4 linked regions of the Saccharomyces cerevisiae S288C genome follow. Changing the gene in region 2 together with the main gene of any one other region gives a genetic interaction. Each region holds a gene or a part of one and is shown on either strand. Other genes may lie near its edges.

Region 1 (9,011 bases), on a different chromosome or scaffold from region 2:
AATAGCACGGAAAAAAGACCAACAGGTTCCAGGAAAATACTAATTTACAAAAAATTGACAAATCAAGTGAGGGTACCTTGCTATTCATCACCGCATTCAACTAACTGGAGGTACAAAGCTGATAAAATTTCACAGAGCAAAGTCTCACTTAGCTTTTACTTTATGAAATTTGACCTTTAATAACCGAAGGTCATCGTAATACGCAACTCAGACAGTTTTAAGTGGATTTTTAGGGTCGCAATTAAAAACACTCAAAAATTAACCGGAGGTTGAGCAAGGGAAAGCAACCGTAACAGAAATCCTTTATTTCCTCCTGGAAGTGAAATAAAAACGCAGTTAACTTTAAAAAGGAAAGTTAGTTGATAATTATGTCTGGAACTTTTCATGGCGATGGGCATGCTCCCATGTCGCCCTTTGAAGATACATTTCAATTTGAAGATAATAGCAGTAATGAAGATACACATATTGCACCTACCCATTTTGATGATGGTGCAACAAGCAACAAATACAGCCGGCCACAGGTCAGCTTCAATGATGAAACACCCAAAAATAAACGTGAAGATGCAGAAGAATTCACATTTAACGATGACACAGAATATGACAATCATTCCTTTCAGCCAACACCGAAACTTAATAATGGATCTGGGACGTTTGATGATGTGGAATTAGACAATGATAGTGGTGAACCGCACACTAACTACGATGGTATGAAAAGATTCCGGATGGGTACAAAAAGGAATAAAAAAGGAAACCCAATAATGGGAAGATCTAAGACCTTGAAATGGGCTAGGAAGAACATTCCAAACCCATTTGAAGACTTTACGAAGGATGATATTGACCCTGGTGCCATAAATCGTGCGCAAGAACTAAGGACTGTGTATTACAATATGCCCTTACCAAAAGATATGATAGATGAAGAAGGCAACCCCATTATGCAGTATCCTCGTAATAAAATCAGAACTACCAAATATACCCCGTTAACATTCTTACCAAAAAACATTCTATTTCAGTTTCATAATTTCGCCAACGTTTATTTCTTAGTTTTAATAATTTTAGGTGCATTTCAAATTTTTGGTGTCACGAACCCTGGTTTAAGTGCGGTTCCGTTAGTTGTCATTGTTATAATCACTGCGATCAAGGATGCTATTGAAGACTCAAGAAGAACCGTCCTAGATTTAGAGGTGAATAATACCAAGACACATATTTTAGAAGGTGTTGAGAACGAAAATGTCTCAACCGATAATATTTCATTGTGGAGAAGGTTTAAGAAAGCAAACTCTAGACTCCTTTTCAAGTTTATACAATATTGTAAAGAACATTTAACTGAAGAGGGCAAAAAGAAGAGAATGCAGAGAAAGCGTCATGAACTAAGAGTACAAAAAACTGTTGGAACGAGTGGACCCAGATCCTCTCTAGACTCCATTGACAGTTACAGAGTATCTGCAGATTATGGCCGTCCTTCATTGGATTATGATAATTTGGAACAAGGGGCCGGTGAAGCCAATATAGTTGATAGATCCCTACCACCCAGAACTGATTGTAAATTTGCCAAGAATTATTGGAAAGGTGTCAAGGTTGGTGATATTGTTCGTATCCATAACAATGATGAAATCCCTGCTGACATTATCTTACTTTCAACGTCGGATACAGATGGTGCCTGCTACGTAGAAACTAAAAATTTGGATGGTGAAACAAACTTAAAGGTACGCCAATCCTTGAAGTGTACCAATACTATAAGAACGTCAAAAGATATTGCTAGAACAAAATTCTGGATCGAAAGTGAAGGGCCCCACTCAAATTTGTACACTTATCAAGGTAATATGAAATGGAGAAATCTTGCAGATGGCGAGATACGAAATGAGCCAATTACTATTAATAACGTTCTGCTTCGTGGTTGCACTCTTAGAAATACTAAGTGGGCAATGGGTGTTGTAATGTTTACCGGTGGTGACACAAAAATCATGTTAAACTCTGGCATTACACCCACCAAGAAGTCCAGGATTTCAAGAGAACTAAACTTCTCTGTGGTGATAAATTTCGTGCTACTTTTCATCTTATGTTTTGTTTCTGGTATTGCAAATGGTGTATATTACGACAAAAAAGGCAGATCACGGTTTTCCTATGAATTTGGAACAATTGCTGGGTCAGCGGCGACAAACGGTTTCGTCTCATTTTGGGTTGCTGTTATTCTTTACCAATCTTTAGTCCCAATCTCTTTGTACATTTCTGTGGAGATCATCAAAACTGCACAAGCGGCCTTCATTTACGGAGACGTTTTACTCTACAATGCCAAATTGGATTATCCTTGTACACCAAAATCCTGGAATATTTCTGACGATTTAGGTCAAGTGGAATATATATTTTCTGATAAAACAGGTACATTAACTCAAAATGTAATGGAGTTTAAAAAATGTACTATCAATGGTGTTTCATATGGAAGAGCTTACACCGAAGCGTTAGCGGGATTAAGAAAAAGACAAGGTATCGACGTCGAAACCGAAGGTAGGCGTGAGAAGGCCGAAATTGCCAAGGATAGGGATACAATGATCGATGAACTGAGAGCTTTATCAGGAAATTCACAATTTTATCCCGAAGAAGTTACCTTTGTATCAAAGGAGTTCGTTCGCGATTTGAAAGGGGCTAGTGGTGAAGTACAACAAAGATGCTGTGAGCACTTTATGTTAGCATTAGCTTTATGTCACTCCGTCCTTGTAGAAGCAAACCCGGACAATCCAAAAAAACTGGATTTAAAAGCTCAATCTCCAGACGAAGCAGCGTTAGTAGCCACAGCTAGAGATGTAGGATTCAGTTTTGTTGGAAAAACCAAAAAAGGGTTGATAATTGAAATGCAAGGTATTCAAAAAGAATTTGAGATTCTAAATATTTTGGAGTTTAATTCATCGAGAAAAAGAATGTCCTGTATTGTCAAAATTCCGGGTCTGAACCCAGGGGACGAGCCTAGAGCACTTTTAATTTGTAAAGGTGCAGATTCCATTATATACTCAAGATTAAGTCGCCAGAGTGGTAGCAATAGTGAAGCTATTTTGGAAAAAACTGCTTTGCATTTAGAGCAGTACGCTACTGAAGGTTTAAGAACGTTATGCATAGCTCAAAGGGAGTTAAGTTGGTCTGAATACGAAAAATGGAACGAAAAGTACGATATTGCTGCTGCATCATTAGCAAACAGAGAGGATGAATTAGAAGTTGTTGCAGATTCCATTGAACGCGAATTGATATTATTGGGCGGTACAGCTATCGAAGATCGTTTACAAGATGGTGTTCCGGATTGTATAGAGTTGCTTGCAGAGGCAGGAATTAAATTATGGGTTCTTACGGGTGATAAAGTTGAAACAGCTATAAACATTGGATTTTCTTGCAACCTTTTGAATAATGAAATGGAATTGTTAGTTATTAAAACAACTGGTGATGACGTGAAAGAATTCGGATCAGAACCAAGTGAAATTGTGGATGCTTTACTCTCCAAATACTTGAAGGAGTATTTCAACTTAACCGGTTCAGAAGAAGAGATTTTTGAAGCTAAAAAGGATCACGAATTTCCGAAGGGTAATTACGCCATCGTTATCGATGGTGATGCTTTGAAATTGGCGCTATATGGTGAAGATATAAGAAGAAAGTTTCTTTTACTCTGCAAGAATTGTAGAGCTGTCTTATGCTGTAGAGTATCTCCATCTCAAAAAGCAGCCGTTGTTAAGTTAGTCAAGGATTCTCTAGATGTCATGACACTAGCCATCGGCGATGGTTCCAACGACGTCGCCATGATTCAATCTGCGGATGTTGGTATTGGTATTGCCGGTGAAGAAGGTCGACAAGCTGTTATGTGCTCAGACTACGCCATTGGACAATTCAGATATTTGGCTAGATTGGTCCTCGTTCACGGTAGGTGGTCTTATAAGAGACTGGCAGAAATGATTCCTGAGTTTTTTTACAAAAACATGATTTTTGCTTTGGCATTGTTCTGGTATGGTATCTATAATGATTTTGATGGGTCTTACCTGTATGAATACACATACATGATGTTCTATAATTTGGCATTTACATCCCTACCAGTCATCTTCTTAGGTATTCTGGACCAGGACGTGAATGACACAATATCATTAGTGGTCCCTCAGTTATACCGTGTTGGAATTTTAAGGAAAGAATGGAACCAAAGAAAGTTCTTATGGTATATGTTGGACGGATTATATCAGTCTATTATCTGTTTTTTTTTCCCTTACTTGGTTTATCACAAAAATATGATAGTTACGAGCAATGGGTTAGGATTGGATCATCGTTATTTTGTCGGTGTTTATGTGACCACTATTGCTGTAATTTCGTGTAACACATATGTTTTATTACACCAATATAGATGGGATTGGTTTAGTGGATTATTCATTGCACTGTCTTGCCTCGTAGTTTTTGCATGGACGGGAATATGGTCTTCTGCGATAGCTAGTAGAGAATTTTTCAAAGCTGCAGCGCGTATCTATGGAGCACCTTCATTTTGGGCTGTTTTCTTTGTTGCCGTGCTGTTCTGCTTACTGCCCCGTTTCACATATGACAGTTTTCAAAAATTTTTCTACCCAACTGATGTGGAAATAGTAAGAGAGATGTGGCAACATGGCCATTTCGATCATTATCCTCCTGGTTACGATCCAACAGATCCCAACAGACCCAAGGTCACAAAAGCTGGGCAACACGGAGAGAAGATTATAGAAGGCATAGCACTTTCCGACAACTTAGGAGGATCGAACTATTCAAGGGATAGTGTTGTCACAGAGGAGATTCCAATGACTTTCATGCACGGTGAAGATGGAAGTCCTAGCGGATATCAGAAGCAAGAAACCTGGATGACTTCACCCAAGGAAACACAAGATCTTCTTCAATCGCCCCAATTTCAGCAGGCCCAAACGTTCGGAAGAGGCCCATCAACCAACGTCAGGTCATCCTTGGACCGCACAAGAGAACAGATGATCGCCACTAACCAACTAGATAACCGCTACTCTGTGGAAAGAGCGAGAACATCTCTAGATCTACCAGGCGTAACTAACGCAGCCTCCTTAATCGGAACACAACAGAACAATTAATAATGATATCCGAACCATAGCTGATGGAACTCCGCTTTTCACTGTATATATAATATTACATAATATTACTGGATAAGCCTTAGAAGCCTTAGAAGCCTTAGAAGCCTTGGAATTCATGCATACTACAGCGTTAACTCTTTCTTTTAGCAAGTTTTAGTAGCGGACGTGTGGGTTTCTTTGTTCTATAATTAACACTCCCGGTTAACCCGGATCGCTATTATTCAAGGACGCACAATGGTGGGCTAATTTTTTCTTCCGATGGAAAACTGACGCCAGCACTTTCCAGCGCTGGGAACTCTCCACTAACTGGCAAAAAAATTGATTAAGGTCATGATCAAAGGAATTTTTGAAATGTTGTAAAGTAGAGTTAAGAATTAATCAAGCCGTGATACGTATGTTTTTGACTAGGTGAGAGACTATATTTATCAAAAATAGTTTTTTATACTAACAGAAAGTTTATTATATCATAGAAATCCTAGGCCTATTGTTATTATTTGCGTGAAAAAAGGTTCATGCCTAGTTATTCAGGATATTAATCAGGCATAGTCATAGTTTTGTAATACACGTCTTTCACTCCTATTTCCGGTTAACATTCGCTAATATCCATCAAATTATTGACTTTTTTTTCAGTGGATTTGTTGTTAATAAAGGAAACAATCAGATCAGCCATTTAGGGAAGTCTTTTAAGAAAGCTCAGAAGGAGATCTAAGACAAGAAGCAAGGCAGTCTTGATTTATCGCTCAAAACCAATAGCACATGCCGAAGAATAGTCACCACCATCGTTCCAGTTCGGTTAATTCCACAAAGAGTCGTTCTACGGAATCTACGAATAAATGGAAAATTCCGCACTATTATCGCAGATCCGCTAGCGGCAGCACACAAGCTTCGCCGGACAGGAACTCCTCAACAGGCTCATGTAGCACTCCAGTATTACCTACTATGAATGTTATGTCTAGCCCGAAAAAAGTTTTGCTAGAGGATCCCAGAGACAACCATACTAAGGCGAAGAAGAGTAGTAGAAAGAAATCAGGTGAAATGGTCTTCGTCAATTATACTGTACAGGACACGGCTAACGAAAATGATACTGACTTGCAAACCCAGCCGGTTTCTGTGCCAGCACCAAAGGCGAAATTAAAGAAGAAATCCTCCAAAAGGAGAATGCTGAAGATATTTGGATCGTCAAAGAACGAACACATAGAGGACATCGTTGAAGAGCAACCAATGGTGCTTCAAATGGATTCAGAATCTAAACCCCTTTCGGGAACCCCTATCTCAGAAAGCGGAATCGACGCCTCGTCACTAACAACCAAAAGATCTTATAACTCGTTCTTAAAACACAATAGGCTAAACGGTAAAACTCCGTTCTCTGGAAACTTGTCCTTTCCATCATTAAACATGATGGGTAACACTACTGATCTGCCTATTGACAATAACGATTTTTGTTCCGAGAAAGAAGTCGTTCCGAAATCAACTCATGATCCTTCACTAGCAAAACCGCCATCAAGGTTCACTGAAAGCGAAACAAATTCTACTCCCAACTTATCAAGTATACCTCTCATGAACACAAAAAATACAAGATTGAAGTACAATAAAGTGGCGCCTCAGAGTTCAGACCGACAAAAGTCACAGGAAAGTGGGCTATATCATTCTACCGAATCATTCAACTTCAAAGATCAAAACTACAGTAACAATAAATCCTCTTTAAGTCTGAACTCCGATTTAAGTACACCCCACTTTGCAAAGCATTCACCTGATTCACCAAGAACTTCAAGATCTTTCAACTGCGGAGACTCACAAAGTAAAGTTAAATTACCGGAAGAAAATGACGCTTCTATTGCATTTAGTAAGATGTTTACTAGAAAACGAGCCAACACTGGCGGGTCCACGTGTTCGCTAGCCTCACCCACTATTGCACAAACTATTCAGCAATCAAATATAAAAGTTAATAAATTGCCAACTCAGCGAACCACTTCAGTTGGCTCATTATCATCCATGTCAAATCGTTATTCACCAATAAGAGTTGCATCGCCAGGAAGAGCAAGATCCGCAACTCGTGGGTCTTCCCTTTATAGATTATCCAGAGACCTTAATTCTTTACCAAGCGTCACTGATCTACCAGAAATGGATAGTACAACCCCAGTTAACGAAATATTCTTGGATGGCCAACCACAGCATAAAAGTGGCAGTGTCAAAGGAGGGCATAGGAAGAAACAAGAATCTATCTCTGATGCTCAAAGAATTCAACATTCTAATTCGTACATTACAACACCTTCATCTTCTCTGGTGACTCCTCCTTACTACATGACAGGTTACACATTACCAAGTTCTGCATCTGCTTCTTCAACTCCAAATGTGCTTGAAACACACAATATGAACTTTGTTCCAAGTACCAGTACTGTTACAAGTTATCGCCCATCTAGCAATTTTTCCTCATTTGACAAAGAATACAGTAACGAAAACGACGCTAGTGGGGAATTCTCTGCTTTCAATACTCCAATGGAGAATATACCGGCACTAAAAGGTATACCTAGATCCACGTTAGAAGAAAATGAAGAAGAGGATGTCCTAGTACAAGATATTCCGAATACGGCACACTTCCAAAGAAGGGATATTATGGGGATGGATACTCACAGAAAGGATGACAGTTTAGATTTTAACTCTTTGATGCCACACGGTAGTACAACTAGTAGCAGCATCGTAGATTCTGTTATGACGAACTCAATATCCACTACAACAAGCAACGCGACCGGAAACTACTTTCAAGATCAAGATAAGTATACATTGGTAAATACGGGATTGGGATTGAGTGATGCAAACCTCGATCATTTTATTAGATCTCAATGGAAACACGCTTCTCGATCAGAATCCAATAATAATACCGGAAATCGCGTTTCTTACAGTGGCTCAACACCAAACAATGTTGATACAACAAAGACTAATTTGCAAGTGTATACCGAGTTCGATTTTGAAAACCCAGAGTCGTTTTTCCATGAGCAATCGAAGCTACTAGGTGAGATGGGCCACAGCAATAACAACAGCAACAGCGCCATCAACATGAATGAACCCAAGTCTGCGGATACATACATTGGAAATATATCTCCGGATACTTCAGCAACTGTTTCATTAGGCGACCTGATGGGCTCAAACGTTTCAAACAACAGTGAAAGAAATTTTTACGATGGTCATACTTTCGTTCCACAGTATCAGGCGAACTCATCTGTGGAAAACTCAAATAATCAAAATGCAGCACCAATTGCAAATAACGACATTGATAATAATTTACAGTCTTTTTATTTTGATAATAGCAACTAAAAAAGGAATGAAAAAAAAAAAAAAAAGTTCAAAAATAGTAACAGATATCTTTCGAAAAAGTTAAAAACTGGTAAAAAATTTTGAATAGAGTATATAAAAACTAATAAATATGTTTAGTTATCATACACCATAGAATAACTACTAGAGATATTATTTCATTTTCGTTTTCATTTTTTTTATTTTTTTCTTTTCAATAAGGTAACAGAAAGTTATTTATGCATTCTTGTTCTACATGTCTTATGTATACTAATAAGCTACTACAGGTATTTTGGTAGTATGGCTTTTAAATGAGTTATTAATTCTTGATCAGTCCCTGTAGGATTATCAAACTGCCACCTAATCGCTTCGTTATTAATTTTACCCAGCCATGGACCTGGCTTCATTTGAAGTAGTTTTGCCATTTGTTTTCCGTCCACTATTGGTTTTAGTTCATGACAATTATTCAAATTATTGTCAAATATGTAAGAATAAAATTCATTGTAATTTTGGAAAAGTAATTCAATTTTTTTAGTTTCAAGCTTGGGAATCTTTAAAAATGCATCTGATAGAGATGCAAAATGTGCTGTTTCCCATTCGCCATTAAAGTTCCGTAGAAATATACCGATTTCGGATTTT
Region 2 (6,677 bases):
ACAGAAGGGATCTTCTTAACCATCAATTTCAATAAGTTAGAACAATATATGTACGAATATAGATATAAATACGAACGTGGTTAGTATATAGAGACAATGGAGCATGTAGATTCCGATTTTGCACCTATAAGGAGATCGAAAAAGGTTGTTGACAGTGACAAGATTGTGAAAGCAATAAGCGATGATTTGGAGCAAAAAAATTTTACTGTACTGAGAAAGTTGAACCTTGTTCCAATTAAAAAAAGTGTTAGCAGCCCAAAGGTGTGTAAGCCGAGTCCAGTTAAGGAGCGAGTGGACCATGTTTTCTACCAGAAGTTCAAATCAATGGCCTTGCAAGAGCTAGGCACCAATTATTTGTCAATAAGCTACGTTCCGAGCTTAAGTAAGTTTCTTTCAAAAAATCTTAGGAGTATGAAAAATTGTATCGTTTTCTTCGACAAAGTTGAACATATACACCAATATGCTGGTATCGACCGTGCAGTTTCAGAAACACTGTCTTTAGTCGATATAAATGTCGTAATTATAGAAATGAATGACTACTTAATGAAAGAGGGTATTCAATCAAGCAAATCAAAAGAATGTATCGAGTCAATGGGGCAGGCTTCATATAGCGGACAACTAGATTTCGAAGCTAGTGAAAAACCTTCAAATCACACGTCTGACCTAATGATGATGGTTATGAGGAAAATAAATAATGACGAAAGTATCGATCATATTGTCTACTTCAAATTCGAACAATTAGATAAATTATCTACTTCAACTATAATAGAACCTTCGAAGCTTACCGAATTTATCAATGTTTTATCGGTACTTGAAAAAAGTAATAACATTGCATTTAAGGTCCTCATTTATTCAAATAACGTTAGCATTTCGTCTCTCCTATCGACATCCCTCAAAAAGAAACTCAACACAAAATATACTGTGTTTGAGATGCCGATATTAACATGCGCTCAAGAACAAGAATATTTGAAAAAAATGATAAAGTTTACCTTTGATTCCGGAAGCAAGTTATTACAGTCTTACAACTCGCTTGTCACATGCCAGTTGAATAATAAAGAATCCAACTTAGCAATCTTTTTCGAATTTTTGAAGGTCTTTCCGCACCCTTTTACCTATTTGTTTAACGCTTACACTGAGATTATAGTCCAGAGTAGAACTTTTGATGAATTGTTGGATAAGATCAGAAACAGACTGACAATAAAAAATTACCCACATAGTGCTTATAACTTTAAGAAAAACCAGCGTCTTCCACTTAAGTTAACTCGAAAAGTACATGATAGATAAATTACCAAGGTCTTTTGAAAGAGTTCGAACAATACAAAGAGATGGCAACTCCTTTGGAAAAGTTCAAGTTGAACCACCTCCGTTGTCTCTATTAATGAAGAAGCCATGAAGTATGCGAAGTTTTAACTGAATCATCTTCAATAATTATGGGATGTCTGGGTTTTAAACGTTTCATAATATTCAATTTTGAAACAATGATCCCAATACTGCTTTTTTTTTGACTAGGACTTGGATTTGGTTGCTGGTGCGTTAGAATTGTTGTCTGTCCTGTTATATTTATACCGGTGAATGAAATCATAATCCCAGCTCTGTCTTTACTTCTCATCGTCCTTTAACTTTGGAGGTGTTACTGTCGTACGTTCCTTCTAGGTTTTGCACGCACTATCTGAGGCGTTATAGGTTCAATTTGGTAATTAAAGATAGAGTTGTAAGATGGTGGATAAAAATAGGACGTTGCATGAATTATCTTCCAAAAATTTCAGCAGAACGCCGAATGGACTGATCTTTACCAATGATTTAAAGACAGTATATTCCATTTTTCTAATTTGTTTGGATTTGAAAGAGAAAAAACATAGTAGTGACACTAAGTCTTTCTTATTAACTGCATTCACTAAACATTTCCACTTCACTTTTACATATCAGGAAGCTATTAAAGCAATGGGACAATTGGAACTAAAAGTGGATATGAACACAACTTGTATTAACGTTTCATATAATATTAAACCTAGTTTGGCGCGCCACCTTCTTACATTATTTATGTCTTCTAAGCTACTACATACACCGCAGGACAGAACTCGTGGCGAGCCAAAAGAGAAAGTTCTTTTCCAACCAACACCTAAGGGAGTTGCTGTTTTACAAAAGTATGTTAGAGATATTGGGTTGAAAACAATGCCTGATATTCTTTTGTCATCGTTTAACTCCATGAAACTTTTCACTTTTGAGAGAAGCTCTGTCACGGATTCAATCATCCATAGTGATTATTTGATCCATATTCTTTTCATTAAAATGATGGGCGCTAAGCCAAATGTTTGGTCTCCAACAAACGCAGATGACCCATTACCTTGCCTATCTTCGTTGTTGGAATACACTAATAATGATGATACATTTACTTTTGAGAAATCTAAGCCAGAACAAGGATGGCAAGCTCAGATTGGAAACATCGATATAAATGACTTAGAAAGGGTATCGCCATTAGCTCATCGATTCTTTACAAATCCAGATTCTGAGTCGCACACGCAATACTACGTTTCGAATGCAGGTATTAGGTTGTTTGAAAATAAGACGTTTGGCACTTCCAAAAAAATCGTGATTAAGTACACCTTTACAACAAAGGCTATATGGCAGTGGATAATGGACTGTACTGATATTATGCATGTTAAAGAAGCGGTCTCGTTGGCAGCGTTATTTTTAAAAACGGGGTTGATTGTACCAGTTCTTTTACAACCATCACGCACTGACAAGAAAAAGTTTCAAATTAGCAGGTCCTCTTTTTTTACCTTGTCCAAGCGTGGTTGGGATTTGGTTTCTTGGACAGGTTGTAAGAGCAATAATATTAGAGCACCAAATGGTAGCACCATAGACCTAGATTTCACATTAAGGGGTCATATGACTGTTCGTGATGAAAAAAAGACATTGGATGATAGTGAAGGTTTTTCTCAAGACATGCTTATCTCTTCGAGTAATTTAAATAAACTGGACTATGTGCTAACTGATCCAGGTATGAGATATTTATTCAGGCGCCATTTAGAAAAGGAACTTTGTGTAGAAAATTTGGATGTCTTCATTGAGATTAAGAGGTTTTTGAAGAAAATGACAATTCTGAAAAAATTGATAGATTCTAAGCATTGTGATAAAAAATCTAATACCAGTACTTCAAAAAACAATATCGTAAAAACGATTGATTCAGCTTTAATGAAACAGGCCAATGAGTGCCTTGAAATGGCATATCACATTTATTCGTCCTATATCATGATAGGATCACCATATCAATTAAATATCCATCATAACTTGCGTCAGAATATTTCTGACATCATGTTGCACCCTCATTCTCCATTATCGGAACACTTTCCTACTAATCTATACGATCCATCACCTGCATCCGCGGAATCAGCAGCTTCATCAATTAGCTCAACGGAGGCTGACACGTTAGGTGAACCACCTGAAGTGAGTCTAAAACCTTCAAAAAATCTTTCAAATGAAAACTGTTCATTTAAGAAGCAAGGATTCAAACATCAGTTAAAGGAATATAAACCTGCCCCGTTAACTCTGGCAGAAACGCATTCGCCTAATGCATCAGTAGAAAATTCACATACAATTGTTCGTTATGGCATGGACAACACCCAAAATGATACCAAATCGGTTGAATCATTTCCAGCAACTTTGAAGGTCCTCAGGAAATTATATCCCCTCTTCGAGATCGTTAGCAATGAAATGTATAGACTGATGAATAACGATTCCTTTCAAAAATTTACCCAGTCAGACGTATACAAAGATGCTAGCGCTTTAATAGAAATCCAAGAAAAGTGCTAATTTCATTGAGAGTCTTACTCATCTTCAGGTACAATTGCACAAACAGTCCTTTTTTTTTTCTTTAGTTCTCCTAACCTAATATGTCTTGATACCCATAAGGACTGTAAATACTATTACGTATAAATTAAGCGGAGGTGTGATTTGTTATATCAACTATAATATGATTAAATAAAGCCATTTATTATCTAGTATAATTTCCAATCCTGAGATGTGACTAACGTGAGCGCTTACGAATCTTCGCATCATACACCTGTGGCCAAGGCTGGTTGGCGGTTTAAGTCCGTCTGAAAACTTTTTTTTACGTCATTTGAAGATCAAAAGTATTGAACATATACCTAATGACACAGTTTTTTACACTTTTTTTGAGTTAAATTATTCAAGGACAAAAAATAGTGTGCGTAAATGGAAGAAATATAAACGTATATAGAAAATCATTTACCTCTCCTGTAGCACCGCAGTCATTACATAACATTTTTTCGAGGGTAAGTAAACATTACGCAAAAAAAGAAAAGGACTTTAAACCTTGGGATTGAACGCAAATTCATTCATTAAAATATCAACATCCCTCCAAACCATATCAGATTCCCAGTTATCCCAACCTGCCATGATGGAATTGGGTGATTCTTTGATTGTAGTTGTAACGGGGTTTGATTGAACAATGGGATACGTTTCTAATAGAGAAGAGTTGGCTTGTGTCGCAGGTAGTGTGTTTTCTTGCATTTGTGTTATTGAAAGAGGCGGTTGATTTGCCGGATGTTCAGCATTCCTCCCTATTGGCAGAGGTTCATTGACAGCTTCAGTGTCCTTGATGTCTGTAGAAACACTGGAATCTAAATTTGCATGATTCAGTTGTTCCCTAGGTGACATTTTATTGAGGATTCCTCTATATGATATAGTGTTCGCTACTTGACTATTTGGGGTCGTTAATGAGCTTCCACTGCTGGTAGAGCCTGCATTTATTGGATTTGGGTCTAGCGGAATTGTTTCAATTATTTTTCTTGCTTTCTTTTCTGGATGCCTTACATTGGTGAATTTCCTTGTCCTTAGTTGCTGGCTATCCATATTTTCTGGAACTTTACTACTTAGTTCTTCTTCTTCTTCTTCTTCTTCTCCCTCCTCATCTTCATCTTCCTCTTCCTCTTCATCAACATTGTAAGCTGTAGAAACCTTGGTCTCTCTCTCCAATTTGGCCATACCACATTTCTCTTTTAGAATATATAAGCAGTCAAAAAAAACGTTTACTGACATCCTAGATTTTATGGTGATGCCTAAATTGAAATCATTATTTAGTCTACCTCCACCTTCCTTTTGGTCGTTTTTCCAGGCATCATACATATTAGCAAATAAACTCCATATGCTTCGCATTATTCCGGATGATCTGTACGCCATATCATATTTTAAAACTGAGGCATTAAACGTCAATGAAATTGCGTTGTTATAAGCTTTTTTGCCTGAGTTAACATCTAGCATTGAATGAAGTGATGAATGTATGAGTTTACTAATAATACAGGCAGATTGCCATATATTCAAGACAAACAAACCAGGAAAGTACTTAATAATGGTAGGATCATGTTCCCACATACTATTGGCATGTATAAGAAAGTTTACGGCGGCATTATAAACTTTCACCAATCCACGTTTCGTTTCAAAACTTGTATCGAGTTCCATAATGGAATATGATCCCTCATAAATATTACCATTTGATTTTCCAGCACTTTGGGAGGTAACATCAGTGAAGTAATAGGTTAATAAGTGAACCTTGGCCACTAGTAATAAAAATTTTCGGATATCATCTAGGTTATTTTCTTCAAGACTAATCTCCAATTGACTTAGTTGTTGATTAAGAACGTGTAACAAGGGCTGCTTCTCTTCCTGACTTACCATCCCAGTAACACTCGCCGGGGTGGAGTTCATTGTGTTTACGATTTGGTTCTCAAATCTAGCAATTTGAGCCATTTGTCTTAGTTCATTGGGTATATCTACTTGGCTTTTTGAATTTGGTACTCTAATAGAGCTGATTACTAAATAATCAAATGAAACATAAGCTGGGAAACCAAATGATGATGCAACTGTTTGAGATACAACATTGCAGCAAATCCAAGTTCGTATTTGCTCGTTAACTAATTCTGAATTTGCCGAAGCATACTCTTTTGAAAAACCTGCACAATTTAGTCCTACCCGAAGCGCTTGGAACATCGCTGTTCCTATGGTATTCCACGAAGTGTCGGCGCTTAATGAAGAGGTTAAGGGAGGCCAGAACGTGTATAAAAGAAATGCTTGCACGGAATATACAGATGCTACATTTAGAACGGGTTCGTCCTTATCTGATGGAGTATATCGAATTATTGGAGATATTGTGATTTCTGATAAAACTGACTTTACTAGCACTGATAATCGAGTCATTAAGTCTGTAGCCCCAAATTTCCGCCTTAAACCAATGAGCAGGATGACCCAGAATAAGCAAGGAGATAAGTGATAAATTCGCTCTGCTCCTTTCGAAAGGTCAACGACGGGTAAAAATTGATGATATTTTGTCGCAAATTCTTGAAACAGCTCAGCAATATCGCTGCTTGACAAATATACGTCGCCCAGGCTTTTTGGCAAGCACTTAAGTTGATCATCTGTCATAACGTTTGTTGAGTGAACAGGGTCGAAGTTTGTCGACGAGCTTAAGAGCGTTAAAGGAGAAGAATCCGTATGTCTTCTGTTGGTACTGTAAGAAATAGGTTCTCCTCGAAGTGTTTTGTATGATCTCGGTTCTATTTCTGTCGTCTCAAAAGCACTCTTCCTGAGTTGTTTTACTTTTTCTTTTGTGAAATTACTGTTATCCAAAACAATTTCCTGTTCCTCTTCAATTTTCTTCA
Region 3 (7,543 bases), on a different chromosome or scaffold from region 2:
TTCAAAAGAGTTACTTGAACGCCATCAGGTCAAAATGCTTTGCTATGGACATATCGAATAACACCGCGAACACCGCTTCACAACAACTATCACTGGATCCCAAGCAGAGGTCGAAACAAATCTTGTCAAATCTAAAGAAAAGTCCTCCTTTAAACTTGAACATAAGTCTTCCAACTGATTTGACTTCCACAGATCCAGCCAAACAGCAAGCAGCTCTTTTCCAAGTAATAGCGGCTCTGCAGAAACATTTTAAAACTTTGCCTTCACATACATCCGTGGGTACAGTCGCACCTCCCCAAGCCCATACAATTACCGAATATGGTAGCAGACGTGAACGTGAACGTGAAAGAGAAAGATATAACTCAAGAAGGAATAGATCAAGATCTCCTCCGGCACCATTTTCTCAGCCATCGACAGGCAGGAAGGACCGCTATCCATCTGTGGCCCAGGACCAATACAGCATAGGCGCCCCCAATACGACATTTGGCACAAACAATCACCACTTATACCCCGATGAGCTTAATGTTTCCAATAATCCTCATTATAGACCAAAACCAGTAAGTTACGACTCTACATTGCCACCAGATCATATTAAAGTCTACAGCCGTACTCTTTTCATCGGTGGGGTACCACTAAACATGAAGGAATGGGACCTTGCTAACGTTTTAAAACCTTTTGCTGAAGTACAAAGCGTCATTCTGAATAACTCCAGAAAACACGCTTTTGTGAAAGTTTATTCAAGACATGAGGCCGAAAATGTTTTGCAAAACTTCAATAAAGATGGAGCCCTGCCATTGAGAACTAGGTGGGGAGTTGGTTTTGGTCCAAGAGATTGTTGTGACTATCAACACGGTTACAGTATTATTCCTATGCACAGGCTCACGGACGCTGATAAAAAATGGTCAGTAAGTGCGCAATGGGGTGGCACTTCTGGTCAACCTCTCGTTACCGGTATTGTTTTCGAAGAACCGGATATTATCGTTGGTGAAGGTGTTTCTTCCAAGGCAATATCTCAAAAGATGCCTACTGATTCTGGCAGAAATGGGCCACGTTCTGGTAAACCTAACAAATCTGGTAGCATATCGTCGATATCTCCAGTACCCTACGGCAATGCACCATTGGCATCTCCTCCACCACAGCAATATGTGCAACCTATGATGCAGCAACCGTATGGTTATGCCCCCAACCAACCATTACCTTCTCAGGGACCTGCCGCAGCGGCTCCCCCTGTACCTCAGCAACAATTTGACCCCACTGCTCAATTGAATTCTTTGATGAATATGCTTAACCAACAGCAGCAGCAACAACAACAAAGCTAAGATCTTTACTCCACCCTTTATTTGCTCATAGTACATAAAACTAATCTACCTCTATATATAATTTCTGTTTTTTCCTATGTTCCTTTTTTTTTTTTGTTAAATGGACATCCTTATGTATTCACATAACTACTGTGTTTCAAATGTAGCATTATCCTATTCTTTATTCTCTTTTTTTACCGTATTCCTGGTTTTTTTTCAAGGTTTAGATGAAAATGAAAATGAAAAAAAAAAAAGGAAAGAAAACAGTTAAACAATCAATAAACTTTATATTCTACGTAATCATAAGCGCTTATCCAGTACCATGAAGGTAAATTTAATGTTGAAAAGAGGGCTTGCTACTGCAACTGCAACTGCCAGTTCCGCTCCCCCCAAGATTAAAGTCGGAGTACTACTGTCAAGAATCCCTATAATTAAATCAGAATTAAATGAACTAGAGAAAAAATACTATGAGTACCAATCAGAACTAGAAAAGAGACTAATGTGGACGTTTCCGGCATATTTTTATTTCAAAAAGGGTACTGTAGCAGAACACAAATTTCTATCCCTGCAGAAAGGACCTATCTCCAAAAAAAATGGCATTTGGTTTCCTAGAGGCATACCGGACATTAAACATGGCAGAGAAAGAAGTACTAAGCAAGAAGTTAAACTTTCTGATGACAGTACAGTAGCATTTAGCAACAATCAAAAAGAGCAAAGCAAAGACGATGTTAATAGGCCCGTGATTCCCAACGACAGGATAACGGAAGCAGATAGGTCAAATGATATGAAGAGCCTTGAAAGACAATTGAGCAGGACCTTATATCTTTTGGTTAAGGATAAAAGCGGTACTTGGAAATTCCCTAACTTCGATCTTTCTGATGAATCTAAGCCGTTACACGTACACGCAGAGAACGAATTGAAATTGTTGAGCGGTGATCAGATATACACTTGGTCTGTTTCTGCTACGCCCATAGGTGTTTTGCAGGACGAGAGAAATAGGACTGCTGAGTTTATTGTGAAGTCACACATTTTGGCTGGAAAATTTGATTTGGTGGCGTCGAAAAATGATGCATTCGAGGATTTTGCTTGGCTGACAAAAGGTGAGATCAGTGAATATGTACCAAAAGATTACTTTAACAAAACAGAATTTCTTTTAGCGGATAATTGAAATCACAAAAACAGATGCGTTTTTAACGTTACATATACAAAATATATGCGTGCATATATATTTATATATTAGGTTGTCGTCAATCACATGTAAATATCATTAAATGAAAGAAAAAGAATGTGCATTTTCTACCGCATTCCTTCCATCAGGTAACTTATTTTTTTGAGTTGAATCTACTCGGCCTATCCTTGCCAATCCTATCAGTATTCTTACTCGTCCTTTTATTGTGGTTGTTGCCTCCACCGTTGTTTTTCCTACGTTTTTCAATCATCGTGTTATCGAACATGTCTTTCCAATAAGTTATTAGATTTTTTTCGTTTTTAACAAAATGATTTGATAGTGTGTCATTCTTGCCTGACATGATATACCATGATTTATCAGGATAAAACTTCAAAACGGGATCGGTTTTGTAATTGGCTAAAGATTTAGAGTGGAGTAAATTACCACTATTAAGATCATAGAAATATACCATTTCATCTTCTGTACAAATTCCTAGTATTTTACCCAAATGACAGACGTCTAGTGTTGTTACCGCAGAGTTCAAATCGTTAATTATTAATTCACAACATAGTGACTTCATATTCCATACGTAGCAATTCCCATCGATACTCCCAGTAATGAAGTTTCTTCCCCATGGGTCCATTTTGATCTCGGTTATAGGACCAGTATGTGCTTTAATTTTGGTACAAACCTCCAATATGCCATGTTTTGCTTTTAAAATGGCCAAATAACCACTCTTAAAGCCAATAAATATATGACTTCCACCATTGCTCCATGCTAAGGAATACACAACGTCATTATCCTCTTGGCTTATATCGCTGATGTTCAAAGAACAGACAGAGCTGTGATCCTTTTTCACATCAAACAAGTAGATTTTCTCAGATTTGGTGGCAGCTAATAACCAGTTTCCTAATGGATCATAAAGACATGTGTTGACCTTAGTCTTGCTTCCCAATGACAAGGTCCTTAATTTGGATGCCGTTAGCGATTTTTCGTTGATTAAGAGTAAGGATATCTCTGATGAATTGCTCACGACAGCTATTTGATTTAAAGAAGTAGGGTTCCAGGACAAATCAGTAGCCAATTTATCGGAACCACAACAGTCTGGAATATAAACTTCTACAGATTTGTCAAAACTTGCATCTTTAATAAACCAAACGGTCAATGACCCATCCATTCTACTATACGCCATCGATGAACCTGATACGTGAAATTTTAGGGAAAGAATTTCATTTGGAGTTATGGGAGTCGAGGTGAATCTTGAATGAGAACGCGAACTGACATGAATGAACCTTTTATCTTCGATATGACTTGTATTACCTTTAGAAAACGTACTTTGTAGATATTTTGAAGTCACTGAGGCAGCCACTTCAGAAGTTATGGTCTTTTGATTAAGAATATCAACAGCTCCAATTGTCGACATGCCGAATAGTTCACTTGATCCTTTTTATGTATGTAGCTGTACACCAATCAAACCTCAATGAGTGAAGCTTTGTACGTAGAAATACTGAAGAGATATATATTTAACATAATATCTTATGTACGTAACCTGTGGTGCAAGGCTTTTAATTTTCTTAATTCTACTATGAATAATGATAAGTTAGGCAAGACACCTATACATGGTTAGTGGCGTCGTTGGGGTGTAAAAATGAATTGTCCATGCTCGGTTACTGTTTTATACAACGGTACAATAATTTAACGTTTTGTTTCTTCCGTCATCATATCCAGTGGGAAAGGTGTATTTCTAGAAAATAATGTTAACCTTCAAGGTTATGCTTTGCGATATTTGACACTTTCCAAAGAAACATGGGCACTGTTAATATACCTTCAAGTCTACATACATATATATAAACTGCATTTGGCTATCTATCGAACGTAAGCAGGAAAAAAATGGCAATTCGATTGAAAATCCAAAACCCTTTATGATACTGAAGACAACTCCAGTAATTGAATAGGTATGGAATAGTAATTCTCTGAAAACTCCCTTGAAAATTGGGAGGCAATGATACTCCTATTTGTGCTGCATCTCAATTGTTGTGGTAAATAGCGTCCTAAACTTTTTTTTTTTCCTATATATAGATGGCGTCGCTAAAATGGGAAGCTTTGAAAAATGTAGCGATGAGATCACATTAAAAGGGTACTGTATGTGCTCTCGAGACCTTAGCACAAATTTTTGACCTGCGTAGACAGAGATGGTTGGGCCTGGTCTGGGAATTAATCGAGTGAGGAGAAAAGGTGTTTATTCCACAAAAAAGGGAAGTGGTGATAACTTACTGTTAATGAAAAGACAAGGAAAACATGACATACATGATAGAGAAAGTGACGACTTATCAGGCCATGATGCCTTTTCCCCCTCAAAAAAGCGCGGCAAAATAGACAGTATCACAGAAGATGAGATTGAAGTAAAAAAGCTTTCCACTGTGGCCACATTTGATAAACTTTCGAGGTCATTTCCAAATTCAGAAGTACAAGCCGCAAAGAATGCAGCACTCAGAGGAAAAGAAAAAGAAGAAGAGAAGGTCGTTTCTATCCCACTAATACAGAATTTGAAAAATGAAGATATCGAGTCTATCAAATGCAGGAACAATAATCTTTTAGACGGTAAAAAATTACTCTTGGAGGCAGAACTATCGGCAGTTGAAGATAACCAAATCTTCTCCTCTTCATTTCCCGAGGATAAAAAGCTATCGTTACAAAGTTGTTTGAGTTCTAAAGAGCAGATAATCAAAAAACTTCAAGTAAGGGAAGAATACATGAGCAAGTTCAAACTACCACCCATGTTGTTTTCGGATGAGCTACTCACTGAAGTAGAACCCTTCATGCCCATTGTAATGGACATATTGGAGGGAAAGATATCGTCTGTATACTATTTTGAAGCAAAAAATGCATTCAAAAACTCACAAAAGGCTTACTTGTCCGTAGATGAGTTTAGAAAGTTGAATTTAAACAAATTTACTGCTGGATTTTACGGCCTGAAAAGGCAATTGAGGGTTGGCGAAGAAATCGCTAAGAGATATAAAAGGGCACTCACGCACAATCAGCCCGCAACCTTAAAATGGTGGGGGATAACAGATTTCTGTAACTACGTTTTGGCTCCAGAAACCCTTACGTCTTTTTGTATTTACCAATTAAATCTCTCGAATAAATCTTGCTCGTCGAAGACACCGAATAAACATCCAAAGCAACAATTAAACGAGAAGGAATATTACTACGATCCCGAATTAAGGATGCTAGCCTATGACTTACTCGAGGATACAGTTGAATACGGTATCATAGTAGCCGACTCTGATCCAATTGAGCAATGGGAAGCTGCCATAGAGGAAGACCGTCTGCGGGAACTGAAACTCGATGTTCATAACTATTCCAGCAGGAGATGGCGACTGGATACGCACGATTAAACAGGTAGTATATTGCCGTTTGTTGCCTTTATGGCTTAGGGATTTGAGCTTTATAGTAAGAACTGCTGTGGTGTCATGATAGACGAAATGCTGAAAAAATTTTCTTTTCGTTCCTTTTCTCTTTTGGCAAGAGTTGTAATAAGGTCATCGATGGATTAGAAATGCTCTTTCTGCTTTGGGGGCACTTGAGGATTGTATTATTTTAAGGCTTTCCCTTCAGAAATCAGGAAAAAAGAAAAGAATACGAAAAAGATGTCTCAAAAAGCTTGTTACGTTTGCGGTAAGATTGGCCATTTGGCAGAAGACTGTGATTCTGAAAGACTATGTTACAACTGTAACAAACCCGGTCACGTTCAAACGGATTGTACCATGCCAAGAACAGTTGAATTCAAGCAATGTTACAATTGTGGTGAAACCGGTCACGTTAGAAGTGAATGTACTGTGCAACGTTGTTTCAACTGTAACCAAACCGGCCACATCTCCAGAGAATGCCCTGAACCAAAGAAGACCAGCAGATTCTCCAAAGTTTCATGTTATAAATGTGGTGGTCCAAACCATATGGCTAAGGACTGTATGAAAGAGGACGGAATTAGTGGATTGAAATGTTACACTTGTGGTCAAGCTGGCCACATGTCCAGGGACTGTCAAAATGACAGGCTTTGTTACAACTGTAACGAAACTGGCCATATTTCCAAGGATTGTCCAAAGGCTTAGGTGAAACATCCACTGAAAAAAACAAAGGAACAATCACTTATCATGCTATATTTCATAGAGGGGAAAAAAGAAGCACAAGTAAACTGAATATTTAAGTTTATTTTCTATATCTTTTCTATACTTCATTTCACTTGTTTCCTCCCTTGGTTATTTTTAACGATTCTTTATTATGAAACAGGAAAAAAAATTATTACAAAACAGAATTACATATTTAATCTATATAACTAACCTTTATTCCAAACCTTTATAAATAGCATCTGCTAATTTAATGCTCTTCGAACAATTTTTAACGTCATGGACCCTAACCATGTCGCTGCCGAAACCAATACACGACGCTACCACCGCTCCAGTAGCAAAGTCTCTTTGCTTCGCATCCACATCTTTTGTGATATGTCCAATGAATTTTTTGCGCGATGGACCCAATAAAACGGGCATATTTCTGAGGTTAACATACACTTGCGAATTGTTTGAGTTCATGGTGAATGAGTAGTTCTTTAAAATGGGGATATGTCTAATAATTTGTAAGTTTTGCTTCCAGGTCTTAGCAAAACCAAGTCCAGGGTCGATTAGAATTTGCCAGCGCTTTACTCCATTATCAATCGCTTTGATATACCTTTCGCCAATTTCTTGACCAACATTCCTGATTAACACTGTTTTGTCTTTCAAGTCGTCTAGCTGCTGAATGTCGGTATTATGAACAAATTCTTGCTGAATAGAATCACCCAATGCAAAATTTTCGTAATGCGCCAGCCTATTCATCGTTGAAATATCACCACGTGTGTGTGATAAAATATAACAAATTTCTGGGTTCTCTGCAATTACGGCAAACATGTTGCTGTCAAATAAACCTCCCGAAATATCATTAATAATATCCACTCCAACTTTAATCGCTTCTTTAGCGACATTGGAACGATAAGTATCAATGGATAGTATGACTTTATCTTGCGGTAACTCAGTGCTTTCTC
Region 4 (7,574 bases), on a different chromosome or scaffold from region 2:
CGCAAGGATCGATGGATTTGACGAGAGGTATACACCACTGGCACACAAGTATCATCTTTACTTGTATCGAGAACAAAGCGTAGACCGAGAACCTTTAAATGGTGATGAGTTACAACTTGATGGTATCCCTGTACTTTTTATACCCGGAAATGCAGGTTCTTTTAGGCAATGCAGATCGATTGCTTCCGCTTGCTCCAATATATATTTTGATTCCAATACCAGGGCGACTCTGCGTAACGAAAATGTGCGAAATTTGGACTTCTTTACGGCAGATTTCAATGAAGATTTCACTGCGTTTCATGGTGAAACAATGCTTGATCAAGCTGAATACCTAAATGATGCCATTAAGTACATCTTGTCTCTTTACGAAAGGACCCCTGATTACCCACATCCAAAACCGCAGTCAGTTATTATCGTGGGACATTCCATGGGCGGTATTGTATCCAGGGTCATGCTAACTTTGAAGAACCACGTACCGGGAAGTATAAGCACCATATTGACCTTATCATCACCTCATGCTGCTTCACCAGTAACCTTTGATGGTGACATTTTAAAGCTTTACAAAAATACAAACGAATATTGGAGAAAGCAGTTATCCCAAAACGATTCTTTTTTCTCTAAGAACATTTCATTGGTTTCCATTACAGGCGGTATATTGGATACTACTTTACCTGCAGATTATGCATCTGTAGAAGATTTGGTTAGCTTAGAAAATGGGTTCACCAGCTTCACAACTACTATTCCAGATGTTTGGACTCCAATTGATCATTTAGCCATTGTTTGGTGCAAGCAATTAAGAGAGGTACTAGCGCGCCTTTTATTGGAAAGTATAGATGCCTCCAAACCTGAAAAAGTTAAGCCATTGAATCAGAGATTGCAAATCGCTAGAAAACTATTGCTTTCAGGGTTTGAAGACTACTCATGGATGAATAGTAAGTTAAATTATCCTCAAGAAAACTTACAAGAATTTAGTGACAACTTCTTTTCTGATTACGCTACTTTGGAAATGAACGATGTCCTAGATTTTGAAATGTTTAACCTGGAAAAGTGGCACAACAATTATACAAAAATAAATATTCCGAGTAACATCTCCTCCACTGAACACCTGCATTTCACATTATTAACTAGTCTCGATATGCCTATGATCTATTTCTGTACAGAGTCCAGGGTGAATCTAAGCTGTATAACAGCTGTTGATAGTATTCTAACAGTGCCCAGGTCTTCAAAAGATACTCAGTTCGCAGCTGATTCTTCTTTTGGAGAAGCAAAAAATCCGTTTAAAGCCGTTAGTGTTGGCAAGAATATACTACAGAAGTACGACTACTTGATGATAAGCAAACCCACTTACGGTGAATTTTCAGAACAAGAAGGCATGGAGGACAATCAGGGGTTTCTTTTGGCATTACTGCGCAACGTCTCCAATGTACAAATAGTCAATACTACACCTTCTCAAATATTGCTCTTTGGAGAACAACTACACTTGGATGGCAAAGACATCGAGCAGGTTATAAGTTTCAGTAATTTGTGGGATTCTTTATTATCGTACAAATTAGAAACCAAGATTGAGGCAAGCAACGAAGGTATTGCTTCCGAAGAGACATTGTTTCAGCCTTTCATAAGGCAATGGGTTTACGAACCTTTCGAGTCTAAATGGCATCTAAATATTATAAACAAAAGTCTCGATATAAATATGCATAATGTAGCACCGTTTATCCCATTAAATGAAAGCGAACCGAGATCGCTACAATTAAGTTTTTTTATTCCACCCGGAATGTCCTTAGAAGCTAAAATGACTATTAATTGGTCTTTAACTTTGAAAATGCTGTTTATCAGGTACAGATTAGCACTAGCATCTTTTCCAGTCGCGTTTATAGCACTCGTACTGTCATACCAGTTCTACTGGTACAACAAGACATCTGAGTTTCCTTCCTTTGATAGCACTTTGGGATATATTTTAAGAAAGCACGGAATATTAATGTTTTTTACGCTGTTCTTAGCTTCGCCTGTGGTTAATAATAAGTTGGTACAACGAATACTTTATTTATTGGATCCTGTCGGTTTAAATTATCCATTTCTGCTATCCGAGAGAAACATGCATGCAAATTTTTATTATTTGGGGATCAGAGATTGGTTTATGTCAACTATTGGAATTCTCTTTGGGGTTATGACAGTTGGATTACTAGCACTAGTTTCTAAGATTTTTGGATCCTTGGAAATTTTAGTAATATTCCTTCAACGGAAGTTATCAAAGAAAAACACTGAAGATAAAGAGGCTTTTGATACTATTGAACATAAAGCGTATGGTAAGGGAAGATTAATGGCATCTGTGCTTTTATTACTGTTGGTATTTTTTCACATACCATACCAGATGGCGTTTGTTATCTCATTAGTAATCCAAATTGCTACCTGCATTAGAGTAGCGCTGTTGAAACTATCAAACAACGAGCAGAAATTGAACTTACTAAATTATAATATGACGTTGCTTCTGCTTTTATTATTTGTTAGTGCCATTAACATCCCTATCATTATTGTTTTCCTGCATAATGTTGCCATCAAATGGGAAACTTCATTTAGATCCCATCACAATATACTAGCAGTGGCACCAATTATTTTTTTGGTTGGAAATAATTCTATTTTCAAAATGCCAAACAGCGTACCTTTAGACACGTGGGATGGTAAAGTTACCATCATTTTATTTGTGTACTTAACCGTTTTCAGTTTCATTTATGGAATAAGAAATCTGTACTGGATACACCACTTGGTGAACATAATATGTGCCTGGTTGCTATTTTTCGAAACAATACATTAGAACTACAACCCAGTAAAAAAAGATTAACTGTATATATTGCCTGAGAGTTCTAGATCATGGCAAGAAAAAAGCTTGAACTCGTAAAAGCAAAGGTGGTTTCTACCACTACTTACGAGATGTTTATTATGTAAAGGAGTTTAAATATTATCAAATAAGAAAGATACCATTTTTTTTTATAGAGAATGTGGTGCATCTGATGAGCACCTGAATCTAGTAGTAACCTTATACCGAAGGTCACGAAATTACTTTTTCAAAGCCGTAAATTTTGATCATAAATTATTATTATCTTCAGTCCAGAACTTTCTGGCTTCCTCATCAGCTGCCGTATCGGGAGTGTACATGTCGACGGGTTCAACTTCTCCCTCTTTGTAACTTGCATCAGCAAACGGTCCTATCCTAGTATTTTTTGAACTCGTAGGTGTGGGCAACTGATAAAACTGATTTTTCTCTATATCATCTGCAGTCTCAGAAACAAAAGTTCTTTCCGAATGTTTATCCGATGTTGTTTCCTTCCTTCTAGGATATAGGTCATATAATCTACTTCTGAGACTGCTTTTAGCATCGTTGTTGATACTATCAGTTTGAAAGCTAGACAGCGTGCCTGGATAAAACCTATCTGTGGATGTTGTAAAGTCTGAAGTAATTGTGTTTGTTTTGGATGCATTATTAGCAGCCGTGGCCCACATTGATGATAATGGTAAAGACAATACAGCAAGTAATGTTGCAACAGTAGTCAAGACATCTGTTCCCTGGTTTGGTTTCAAACTGTATGCGAGGATGAATATTATCGATGGAACCAACAAAGATTGACATGACATTATGAGTAAAATATGGAAACTATCGAACTGCTTGAGACCAAGGAATCTTCTTGATCTAATAGCTAAAATCAATTTAACTACCAGGACAAATGACATAAAGTTTATTGAGGATGCAAGTAAAATTGTGGATGCATTGAAGTATTTATCTTGGGTGGCACTAACATCATTATAAGTCACAATCATACCTTTAACAGCGCTTACAAAATACATGGTAACTGTAGCAATCCCTAAAGTGAAAGATATCGACGTCAGCATCAAACCTATCCTTTTGAAGTTGTCGCCTGTGAAAATAACTTTTATCTGAAACACCAGTGAAGTCTCAATAGAAGCCACAAGAAGGACTTGAATTATATTTGTAGCACCATAAACATGAACGTCACCTCTACTGATGAACTGAGGAAATCCGGTGAGAGCGTAAGTCACTGAAGAGTAATTAGACAGTAAATATTTAAAATAGAGTGCAGAATGCAAAATGATTAAAAACAATGAAACTTGGTTGATAATGAAAATCGGCGTTTTTCTGCTTCTCGATGTCATCCACATGACAATCAAAGTCAAAGCAGCTGCACCACATCTGACACCAAACATAATGGCCTGAGTAACAGTACTGTTAACTAAACCTTGCAACTCATCGAAAGTGATGGTAGATCCATTCCCATATATGGAAGTGTAGTTAATGGTGCTTTGACCAGGATTATACGTTGGATCATAAAATAGATTGCTCAATGAAGGAGCCGCATCAGACATTTTTGATTCTTGGATATGGTTCTTAACGGTGCATTTTTAAGTAACCAATTATAATTATAGCCAGAGCAGGTGAAAAGAAAAGGTATCGTATTGCTTTGAAGTCAAATAAGATACTAATAGCACTCCTTAAATAGTATTCCACCCACAGAAAAAAATCTTGAATATGTAGGAAAGCTTTTTTCTTCATATGTGTTTCATCATGTACTTACCCAATTAGGAAATTTACATGGTTGAAAAAACTTCAATCTGCGACTTGCCAGGCACAGGTCCTAAGCAGTATGGACGTTGGCCTGCTTAAATTCTTAGCGGATACTATTGTTTCATTGCAAAGCAGGATACTTCTTCTCGTTTATACTAGCCTGTCTTAATGCACGAGACATTTACCCACAGAGCAAGACGTATATTGACGGATTGCAACACCTATTCGAGCACTACAGCGTGTGACAATGCATTTTGGCAGGCATTGGATAACATATCCGGACTATTCTACAGTTCGTTCTATGCTCTTATCTTGAATCTTTGGTGTATTAAAAAGCTTATTGAGGTTTCATAGCTAAATTTTTCCTTTTTTCTCTCTGGGAAGGGAAGATTATCTTGAATTGGCAAAGTAAAGAAATAAAGAGAAAATTTAGCAAATGACATAGAACAAGCCAATTAACAAAATACGATGCCATTAAGGTCATTATTTCATACTAATCAGAGTAGCCACGACAAAGACGCGTTGACAAGGGGAGGTTATAACGCATATCTGGAATCACTTTCTCGTTGTGACAGTGGAAAGGCAGAAGAACAAAAAGGAAAAGTTATATCAAAGTTATTAGAGAAAAAAGATGTCCGAGCTTTGAGGTACATAGGTTTAGGGCCTCTGGGGTTTGTAAACAACTCATTAAGAAAAGATTGTTGGTATGAATTATTGGCGTCCCAGTTGCTTATTGATGATGCAACAGAGTACATTACACCAGTGGAAAAACATAAAGATGAAGGTCAGGTGATATTGGATGCAGAAAGGTCTTTTGGTGGAATTGTCGACAAAAACTTGAAACTGCAATTGAGAAAACTACTGGTGGAGTTAATTACTCGGGTATTGAGAAAGTACCCAACGTTGAACTATTACCAAGGTTATCATGATATTGTGTCTGTTTTCATCATGTGTTTTAGTTGGAATGTCACAAAAGAGAACGGACTGGAACTAGAAAATCTCTCATTGCAAGAAGAAATTGATATGGAAAGGCTGTTTTATTGCATCGAAGCATTTACCCTATTATATCTGAGGGATTTCATGATGAACTCACTAGATTTTTCATTTGAGCAATTGAGAGTAATCTCTTCATTGATAAAGGAATCAAACATGAAATTCTATAATCTATTCAAATTTGACGAAAATGAGCCCCTTTTCGCTATTGGGTCAATATTGACAATCTTTGCACATAATTTGAAACCTATAGATAGCGGTGACAACAATCTTCATAAAATTCTTTTCCAGATATTTGACATGACAATATCGATGCAATCTATGCGTTTACCTTTGATCATATACAAGAACCTGCTATTGCAAAATGCGTCTGAAATTTCGAAGCAAATAGAAGCTAATTCTGATTTCTTCGAGAACGATTTTGACCTGCGCCATGGTGCTATACAAACAGTTTTACAGAAAAAACTGTATGATGAGGCGCTTTGGGAAGAAGTCTTGCAAATAACTAGAAAAGATGCGACTACTGCCAGCAAGAAGGCTTTGAAACGGGTGAGTCTTAATAAATATAGTGCATTACTCAATACAGCATGTGGAAAGCCAGGATGCTTCGATATGAGCACCATTATCTTCTATTTGAGCGAACAAACAAAGATGAACGAGCATTACAAGGAAGAAAAGTATCATGGTGTCGCCGCCAGATCCAAGACAAGGGCGTTGGTCCAAAGACTTGGCCATTTTTTACCCTCCAAATATAACAGGTGGAGCAAAATTTCTTTACTTATCGGGATTGTAGCTATCCTGTACCAATTACGGACTACAAGGTCGTTGAGTTTAGTACTCAATCTACGTTACATGATCTCCACAAAGTTGAAAGACTTATCACATATAAATATAAATTTGCACCACGTTAGTCACATCTGGGTGGATCCGATTAGGGACATTTTGAAACTGGGGCATCCAACTAGATAGCATACAATATACCTTATATACCCATGACATAGAAACAAACTCATATGTAAGGTATTATTATAAAGTGCTTCTTTAAAATTCGCTGCGGAAATTTCTTCGAGGATGACTCAAATAAGAAAAAACGAAAATTCTGAAAGAGAGATTTTTAGTATGGAGAAAACCAGTACTCCTGCATAAGATATCAAGATATTAGATAACTCTCAAGATGGTTTCCCAATTTGCTATTGAGGTGCGTAACCTAACGTACAAATTCAAAGAAAGCTCCGATCCGTCAGTTGTTGATATCAATCTTCAAATCCCATGGAATACAAGATCTTTAGTTGTGGGTGCCAATGGTGCTGGTAAATCCACCCTTTTGAAATTACTAAGCGGTAAGCATCTTTGCCTTGATGGAAAAATCCTGGTCAATGGTCTTGATCCATTCAGTCCATTATCTATGAATCAAGTGGACGATGATGAAAGTGTTGAAGATTCGACGAACTACCAAACGACCACTTATCTAGGTACGGAATGGTGCCATATGAGTATCATTAATAGGGATATCGGCGTCTTGGAACTATTAAAAAGTATTGGATTCGATCATTTTAGGGAAAGAGGTGAAAGATTGGTTAGAATCCTGGACATCGATGTACGTTGGAGAATGCACAGGTTAAGTGATGGACAAAAGAGAAGAGTTCAGTTAGCCATGGGGCTCTTGAAACCTTGGAGAGTTTTACTACTTGATGAGGTCACTGTGGATCTCGATGTTATTGCCAGAGCAAGACTTCTGGAGTTTTTAAAGTGGGAGACCGAAACCAGAAGATGCTCAGTGGTCTACGCTACACATATTTTTGACGGCTTGGCCAAATGGCCTAACCAAGTATACCATATGAAATCAGGTAAGATTGTGGATAATTTAGATTATCAGAAAGACGTAGAGTTCTCTGAAGTGGTCAATGCTAAAGTTAATGGACAAGTGGCCTTTGAAAATGACAACAATAAGGTTGTTATTAGTAAAGTGAATAGTTTGCATCCATTAGCACTAGAATGGTTGAAACGT

Evidence for each region.
Region 1: mutations in SST2 (region 2) and BCK2 are lethal when combined (synthetic lethality), as found in Saccharomyces cerevisiae (2 studies listed by BioGRID, with this or other methods).
Region 3: mutations in SST2 (region 2) and TEX1 together harm fitness more than expected from each alone (negative genetic interaction), as found in Saccharomyces cerevisiae (2 studies listed by BioGRID).
Region 4: of SST2 (region 2) and STE2, a mutation in one rescues a mutant of the other (synthetic rescue), as found in Saccharomyces cerevisiae (3 studies listed by BioGRID).

Annotation. Positions count from the first base shown.
Region 1 is NC_001137.3:512,376-521,386, forward strand, and holds BCK2 (Bck2p), read left to right. Parts: upstream 1-5,840; coding exon 5,841-8,396; downstream 8,397-9,011. Other genes in the region: aminophospholipid-translocating P4-type ATPase DNF1, read left to right, coding at 369-5,084; CCA1 (tRNA adenylyltransferase), read right to left, coding at 8,654-9,011. UniProt on the Saccharomyces cerevisiae protein: Dosage dependent suppressor of PKC1 deletion and MPK1 deletion. Involved in cell lysis.
Region 2 is NC_001144.5:1,036,406-1,043,082, reverse strand, and holds SST2 (GTPase-activating protein SST2), read left to right. Parts: upstream 1-1,716; coding exon 1,717-3,813; downstream 3,814-6,677. Other genes in the region: RIF2 (Rif2p), read left to right, coding at 97-1,284; leucine-responsive transcriptional regulator LEU3, read right to left, coding at 4,330-6,677. UniProt on the Saccharomyces cerevisiae protein: Desensitization to alpha-factor pheromone. Is involved in regulating the signaling pathway for responding to mating pheromone.
Region 3 is NC_001146.8:166,364-173,906, reverse strand, and holds TEX1 (Tex1p), read right to left. Parts: upstream 3,890-7,543; coding exon 2,621-3,889; downstream 1-2,620. Other genes in the region: Nrd1 complex RNA-binding subunit, read left to right, coding at 1-1,319; mitochondrial 54S ribosomal protein mL46 MRPL17, read left to right, coding at 1,621-2,466; RTC4 (Rtc4p), read left to right, coding at 4,659-5,864; mRNA-binding translational activator GIS2, read left to right, coding at 6,117-6,578; trifunctional dihydropteroate synthetase/dihydrohydroxymethylpterin pyrophosphokinase/dihydroneopterin aldolase FOL1, read right to left, coding at 6,810-7,543. UniProt on the Saccharomyces cerevisiae protein: Component of the TREX complex, which operates in coupling transcription elongation to mRNA export.
Region 4 is NC_001138.5:79,380-86,953, reverse strand, and holds STE2 (alpha-factor pheromone receptor STE2), read right to left. Parts: upstream 4,375-7,574; coding exon 3,079-4,374; downstream 1-3,078. Other genes in the region: BST1 (Bst1p), read left to right, coding at 1-2,809; GTPase-activating protein GYP8, read left to right, coding at 5,042-6,535; putative ATP-binding cassette family ATPase CAF16, read left to right, coding at 6,741-7,574. UniProt on the Saccharomyces cerevisiae protein: Fungal class D1 G-protein-coupled receptor that acts as an alpha-factor pheromone receptor performing pheromone-dependent signal transduction involved in cellular conjugation, mating projection assembly, and in cell fusion.